Bombyx mori: one gene and its partner. The protein of the gene in region 1 binds, or shares a complex with, the protein of each later gene. Links are inferred from orthologs where the notes say so. Each region holds a gene or a part of one and is shown in the gene's direction. Other genes may lie near its edges. The genes, in order: THO complex subunit 6 and THO complex subunit 7 homolog.

Region 1 (4,222 bases):
AATTAAATTTAGAAAAAAAATATATAATAATTGGAAACCCTGAAAAAGGTAGCAAGAATTACAAAATAATGTTGATTTATAAAGCCCAACGTGTGCCAACCTCATATCATAAAAATTTAAGAGACCATCCCCGGAACAAATCTCCAATACCATGAATCCGATTTCTGTGTATTTGTTGTATTTATGCTAACTACTCACCCTTGTTCTTCCAGGCTATCTTCCAACTCTGCACACTTGACTTCAATCTTCCTTTTCCTCTCATGATCGAGTATTTCTCTATTTGGTTGTTTGTTTGACGCCGAATCCAACTTGGCGATCTCATCTTCAGTCCGGTAGTTGACGGAGTCTTTTGTTTTTCTTACCGTGGCCCAATTTCTCTGTACGTAGCCATTTGTACCGGAGCCCCGTGGCGTCGTCAACCCGATCCCATTATACATTATTTCGTATTATATACCTAAAACCAATCGTAACACTTACGGTGTGCAAATTGAAGGTTCTGAATTAGGCCACGAGATTAGAAACTCCCAGAAAAGTTAGTAAAATAATCTATAAATAACAATTTCTCTTTCAAAAAATGTATCAACGTTAATGATCAATAACTCACAATATTATTAGATTATATGTTTATGTTTAAAAAGAATTGAACACGACCATCTTGCTTGGTTTTGATTTTTTTAGATTGAATTATTCATAGACAACGAAATGGCTATGAATTTAGATGTTTCATTTTATCTATAGTTTTTAACTGACAATGACAAAGTCAAGCAAATCAATTGGAACTTTAGAATAACTTTTCTATTTTGAGATCGCTAAACAATAAGATAAAAAGCATAATTTTTGAATAAAAATAATACATGTAACATGATTTAATGAGTTTTCGGCAAACAAAATGAAATATATGAAAAGAAACTTAGGCAAATGTCAATAAAACCACAATATTTTTGTTTTAGATAAGAGTACATAATAATATAGTGTAATAAGAGTTTTAGTAAGAGTAAAGTGAAGTACCTATTTCATTTTATTAAAATGTTTCTAACCTATAATAGTAATGAGTCAATAAATTAATACGTGATTTATTAAGTTGATTTGTGGAAAGATAGCTTCGTCTATATAGCTTCCTTTGTTAAAAAAATAACCTTAGGTCTTACTAAATTTCTGTTCTTATACAGGGTGAATTTGCCTTAATTTTATCTCAATTCGTCATAAAGAGCTATAGAGCTAAATCATTTTGGTTTTTTAAAATAGAGCATGGACACTGTTCCCTTTGCCTAAAGAGTGTATGCCGCAAAAAAATCGCTGCATTCGAAATAGAGGTTATATGTAGCTTTAAATTGTGTTGTTTACCTATGGTTGTTTATGTTTCTTTTTCAATTAAAATATTGCATGGCATCTAGAAAAACTGACGAAGTAGTCTAGTTTCTGAGCAAACACAAAACTTTTACCATGTTGAATAAAATGTTGTATAACACTGTTTTATCTCAGACTTTATCGCCGTGTGGTAAATATTTAGTGGCCGGCAATATTTATGGAGATCTTGCTGTATTTGAGTATGTTATTTGTATTAAATTTATAGAAGTATATTTTAATATTTGGAGAGGTTTATAAATTCATTCTAAATTTTTGTTACAGCCTAGATCGTATTTTAAATCCAGTACTAGAATTATTATCTGTTGAATACAACAAACCAAAACATATACATTCTATAGATTCAAAAAAACAGATTTGTAGTCTAGTTTCAACGGAAAAATTCCTTATAATTGGTACCGTTAATGAAATATGCGGATGGGACTGGAAGGCTGTTGTTTCTGTTAAATTATCAAAACCTGTATGGAGCATAAAGATTCCTTCCCAAACTTTTTTGGACTACAACGATGTGAACTGCATGTGGCTATCTCAAGACAGTGAGAAGCTGTATGCTGGTTGTGGAGACAATAATGTGTATGTGTTTAATTTGGAAGATGGGAGCCTTATTTCAACTTATAAGGGACATAATAATTTTATTCATTCTATTCATGGAAAGTAAGTTGTTTGTTTGTTTATTTGCCTTATTTCAGCTGCTAATATATTTGCCCTGACAGTGATATACATATATGCTTATGGCTAATATTACAGTAATAAAGAAGTTATTTAAAAAAAAATTTCAGAAACCAACAGATTATTTCAGCAGGCGAAGATGGTTTGGTTATGCTTTGGGATACTAGAAGTGGAAAATCACACAATAAATTGGAACCGCACACTAATAATAAGGTCAGCAGACCTGATATTGGCAAGTGGATTGGCTCAGCAGCTCTTGGAGATGACTGGATTGTAAGTTCATCTATCATCAATCTAATTATTCATACATATTATCATTAAAATGCCAGAGGTGAAAATAAAAACAAAAATGAAAATCAGTGAAAAAATTATTTTTGTTTAATAGGGAATTTACATAATAATATTGTGACTGATATTTTTCTGTGTGTGTTGTAAAAGGCGATTTATTTTATTTAAAACCCTCTTAAGCCATCAATAGCATTCCTAAGGAAAGTTGTGTCGAAGTCGTTGTGGCCTAAAGGATAAGATGTCCGGTGCAATCATATCTAGCAATGCAACAATGTTAGAATCCCACAAGCCAGGTATCAATTTTTCTAATGAAATACGTACTTGACCAATGTTCACAATTGATTTCACGGTGAAGGAATAACATTGTGTAATGAAACTCAAACCTGCAAAATTATAATTTGCATAATTACTGGTGGTAAGACCTCTTGTGAGTCTGCACGGGTAGGTACCATCACCCTGTCTATTTCTGCAGTGAAGCAGTAATGTGTTTCGGTTTGAAGGGTGGGGTAGCCGTTGTAACTATACTGAGACCTTAGAACTTATATCTCAAGATGGATGGCGCATTTACATTGTAGAATTTTTTTTATTGCTTAGATTGTGGACGAGCTCACAGCTCACTTGGTGTTAAGTGGTTACTAGAGCCCATAGACATCTACAACGTACTGATGTCTATGGGCTCTGGTAACCACTTAACACCTGGGTGATAATTAATAATGGAATATATAAAAAATTTACAGGTATGCGGTGGTGGACCTCGATTGTCTCTGTGGCACCTTCGTTCATTAGATGCAGTGACAGTCTTTGACATTCCAGACAATGGGATTCATGTGTCATTCTTTCATGATGACTGTGTGTTTGCCGGTGGTACTTCTAAACATTTTTACCAAATGAGCTACTCGGGTGAGGTGAGAGTAGAACTACCAGTGTCTGCCACGACCATATACAGTGCGGTGCTAAGAACTAAATACAGCACCCTGTTAAGTTTAGCCGGTTCCAGTCCAGAAATAGATTTGTGCACGTCTCTTAATTACAAAGATCAAGTTTTACATTTTCGATAGTTATAAGCATATTTAGGTGGAAAAAATTAAATGAAATTAAATCGAGACCTAAGTTTTATTATATGAGTCGACTATTATCAAAGCCGGTAATGTGACTTTTGGAAAATTATTGGTAAATCAGAAAAATGAATTATTGACTTTGTATTCCATTGGTAGTCACAAAACTCTTATGAGCGACATCTTAGATAAATAACAGGTTAAGTATTAACCTTTATTTAATGCAGGTTTTGAACCGTATTCTTTGAAGGAGACTATTATATTCAAATCAATCTGTATTGACATATCAATAACATTTTTTTGTCCAAATGCACAGATTGCCACCTTTGATAATAGACGACTAATATACAGTATTTACTAATATTATGATAAGTTCAGTAAAATTTACTCTAGGATATTTAAATAACTTAATTTTTCATTTTCTCAGTCACCTGTACATATTTTGAGCTTTTAATGGACAATGTAAAATATGCATGTATGCAACATTAAAACATCAATAAAGTTTTTTGGATAACAATATTTAACCAATTGCGCCCAGTCGGTACTTGTGTAAATTATAGTTACTTGCTCCAGCCTCAAATTGAAACAGCTCATAAGTTCAATCGCCTCCTATTTACGTCTAATTGGTATCACTAGTTCGATTCCTTCATTGGACAAGCATTGTGTGATGAACAGGTTTGTTTGCTCTTAGTCTGGGTGTTTTATCTATCTAATATATAAAATTCTCGTGTCACAGTTTTCGTTGCCATACTCCTCCGAAACGGCTTGACCGATTTTGATGAAATTTTTTGTGCTTATCCGGTATCTATGAGAATCAGCCAACATCTATTTTTCATCCCCCTAAA
Region 2 (3,650 bases), on another chromosome or scaffold:
TAACTACTAAATATGGAATCTTTTATTGAAATGAAATACATGATTTCTATACCTAGGTATGTAATTATTTTTTTGTTTCATCTCTTTTTTAAGTAGAAATACTTGATTATTATTTAACATTTACTTTTTTATTTAACTATCTATTCAGACAGTCATCTTTGAATTGAACATTGAAAATTTAAAGGTTAATTAGGCCAGCTACCATTCCATTTCTTGTATTAATAAAGAAAAAAGCAAAACACACAACAGAATGCACAGAGCTTTCCAACATGTCACAGCTGATACTAGCTTGAATTAAGAAATGTTTTTATACTTTATTTTGCTGACTAATAAAAAGAGTAGAGCGGGAAGTTATCCCAAAGCAAAAGAATAAGAGAAAATTATCTCGATAAATGTAACATTTTATAGTTAGATTTAAATATTGGTTACTTCCACATTTGTAGTAAGAAGATATTAAGAAAACTTAGCGCACTCACCATTGAACATAAGATAGTAATAGTACCTAGTAAGTTTAATTATTTTAGTCTTGTCTTATACTTCTTTCAATAATAGAACTGGTTTAAAAGACGATATTTTTCATGTCTTAAAATTGAATTGGAACTTACTTCGTTAGCTTCTCCAGCCCGGTACAAAGTAGGCTCGGGGTAAAGAGTACAAACAGTACTAAATACGGCACGACCAGCTGCCCCGTGATAGGAAACTGCCAGGTTGCGCTTTGTAACATTGTTGTTAATATACATTTGCCGCTCAGAAATAAGGATAACACTTGACCAAGCAGTATGCTCCTCCACACTTTCCTGAAAATGCACACTTAGTTAGTTTAAGGACGTTTACCCAAAAAATATTTTATTTATTTATTTATTGATACTAGCCATCGCCCAAGTTCCGAGAAATAAATCTCGACTTTATCACTGAAACTTGACGTTTCCATTGTTTCAGTGAAAGATATTCCGAAAGTTTACTCAGCTAATTTACTGTTAAAATAGATTCAATAGTTTAAAGGGTTTAATATAGCAGTTATTCATCATTTCCTGAACAATGGATCGAAATTCGAAAGGCAAAACAACATGTGAATTGTGGTTGTGACATCTGTTTTTTTTTCTTGTTTGGCAGGCATCTCATAATAGTCTGTGGTTTTCTTTCGTCCATTGAATGAGCAAAGGGAAAATAGCCGATCAAAATCTTTTAATTAAAATAAAAAGGTTAAGCTTTGTGTTCTTAAAATCTTAAGAATTTAATCAGCGTTCAATTAAATTTTGAGATCTCAAGAAACCACGGTCAGCAATTTTGTTTCAATCAATTTTGACAGGAATGTGAAATAGTAAAGTTGTAATACTGTGTGAATGTTTTATTTAGTTTAGTTTTCTTCATCTTTAAATATAAAAATAGTTATCGTCTTATTTATATCATTTCATTTTTTATGCAACAGATATGATTTCAGGCTTTGTCGTAAAATATTTAGATAAAAAGAAGAGCATTTTTAACTTATGAGAATGTCTCCTTTGCCTATGAGTTGGATAAAAAAAACTTTTTTTTTATTAATAATTTAACCTGCCAAAATTTGGAGATAAAATATTTTTAATTTTTCTTGATTTTTGTAAATAAAACACACAAGTTAGCACTTACATATAAAGAACAAGGATAAATTTGAATTCGCTTATGATAAGATTATTTTGTAGAATAAAAACATTACCTAACAATTTATAAGGCAAACTCGGACGAGATCATAATTTCATTTGAATTTTACTCCAAACATAATGGGTGACGGTAAATAACTTTACCTAAGAATACAAAACTACTCAAAAACAAATACTATTTCAATACTCATTGGTTATTTCCAGAAGATGTGATTCGTAGAAGACTTCTGATCGACGGTGACGGTACTGGAGACGACAGGAGACTGAATGTACTTTTAAAAACTTTGATAAAATGGTGCAATACAACGGATGACAAACCGGAAGAAAGGTTGGTTTTAATAAATAGTACCGTATTAGGACGTATTGTGAGCTCACATGCGTAAACACTGTTCCACTTCCGAATTATCATAGCTTCCGCATTGATCATAGCTTCCAATTTGAAGGGTAGAATTGCCATTGTAAATTCAATTGAAACTTCTATCTCGTGTCCCAAAGGTTCTGGTAAGCATTTAATACCAGCAGGGAAATGTTGGCATCTGTTTATCTATAATAAAGAGCCTTAATATTCAATTAAGTGTTCATTAACCTTTTCATTTATTCCCCATATACATTTGTTGTTTTATTATGAGAATAAAAATCTGCAGTCAAAATGTAAGTTTTTGTAGTTCCAGAATATGTAATACGATTAAGATTTCTCGTTTTAGTAAAGCTACTCATGATCGTATGTTAGCTCAACTGGCACAATGCGAATTTGCTGTCACAAAATCGCAACTCGGTTCTGAAATGATGGCTGCTGAATTAAAAAGCTACGAAGCACTCTCGAAAATTCTAGAAAGCGGAATAGAGGTGGCCAAAGAGAACATACAGAAGAGCAAAACAGATTTAGCACAAGCAAAGACTGTCAGAAAAAACAGAATAGAATATGATGTCTTGGCTAAGGTTATCAGTGAACAGCCTGATCGTAAGGAAACCTCTGAGAGATTGAGCACTCTGAAGACTGAACTAGCAAACTTGGAAACCACCAAACAGCAATTGGAAAGTCGGTTAGCATTACGAAAGAAACAATTTCATGTGCTTGTAACTTCAATACATCAATTACAAGCATTATTAGATGAACTAGATGATGCAGAGACTATTTGTGATGATGTTGATATGAAAGAAATATCAAATGAATCATAATAATGAGTGATGTATTAGAGTATAAGATTATTTCTCTATGTGAGATTTCTAATAAAGTATGAATTTTCTACTTGATTTTTTGTTTACATTTTCAGTACTGTAAAATGGGGAGAATTGGGACACTTTTTAAGTTCGACATTGATTTGTATAGTTTTTTTTTGTTTTAGTAATAAAACGGAGATCATAATGGTTCTGGAGGCTTAAATATTTATATACAATGCGTTACTATACATTGTTCACTACAAAAATACACAAAAACTGAAAAAAATAGCTTGACCCCATTCACCTTGGCTTTGGGGTTGAATCAGGTTACGTAGGGGCCCGCGATCTGGACGGGACCTTCAGCCCGCAATGATTGCGTGCTGTGGGTCTCGTCTGCGGGGGAGATGCTGGACTTCCACCAGGCGCGTCCGTGGGTGGCGGATCACGGGATCCTCTGGGCGACATTCCCAGAGGTATGGTCCGATCTTTTTCGTTGCGAGGATTCTTAGGTTTAGGATTAGGTTTAGATGTAGGTTAAAGTCCTAGGTTTAGGATTAGGATAGTTTAGCTAGGCTTTGCCTGGTAGATCCTTTGTTGTTTTCATGACTTGTCCAAAAGTCACACTACATAGTGATCTAATGCAAACATTAAATTATGAATCGCAAATACCTTTTTTTTGTTTTAAATGGTTTCTATAAGGTTTACCTACGGTATGTAATCAAGTCGTGAAAGTGTTGTCACATCAAAAATCCCAGAAAATATCTGGTTGAAAGAAATAGCAAAAAATTTATAATAGAATACCAAACTTCCAATAAAAAAGCTAACCGGTGGTGATCGAGATATATGATTAAT

Evidence for each region.
Region 2: THO complex subunit 6 (region 1) and THO complex subunit 7 homolog share a complex: the UniProt entries of both Drosophila melanogaster proteins name them as parts of the THO complex. The link is inferred for Bombyx mori from reciprocal best matches to the Drosophila melanogaster genes thoc6 and thoc7.

The regions. Positions count from the first base shown.
Region 1 is NC_085116.1:3,183,359-3,187,580, reverse strand, and holds THO complex subunit 6, read left to right. Parts: upstream 1-1,266; 5' UTR 1,267-1,443; coding exon 1,444-1,547; intron 1,548-1,629; coding exon 1,630-2,019; intron 2,020-2,144; coding exon 2,145-2,307; intron 2,308-3,059; coding exon 3,060-3,380; 3' UTR 3,381-3,425; downstream 3,426-4,222. Other genes in the region: serine/arginine repetitive matrix protein 2, read right to left, coding at 199-437. UniProt on the Drosophila melanogaster protein: The THO complex is required for cell proliferation and for proper export of heat-shock mRNAs under heat stress.
Region 2 is NC_085129.1:4,007,726-4,011,375, forward strand, and holds THO complex subunit 7 homolog, read left to right. Parts: upstream 1-1,294; 5' UTR 1,295-1,757; coding exon 1,758-1,767; intron 1,768-1,841; coding exon 1,842-1,965; intron 1,966-2,341; coding exon 2,342-2,816; 3' UTR 2,817-2,891; downstream 2,892-3,650. UniProt on the Drosophila melanogaster protein: The THO complex is required for cell proliferation and for proper export of heat-shock mRNAs under heat stress.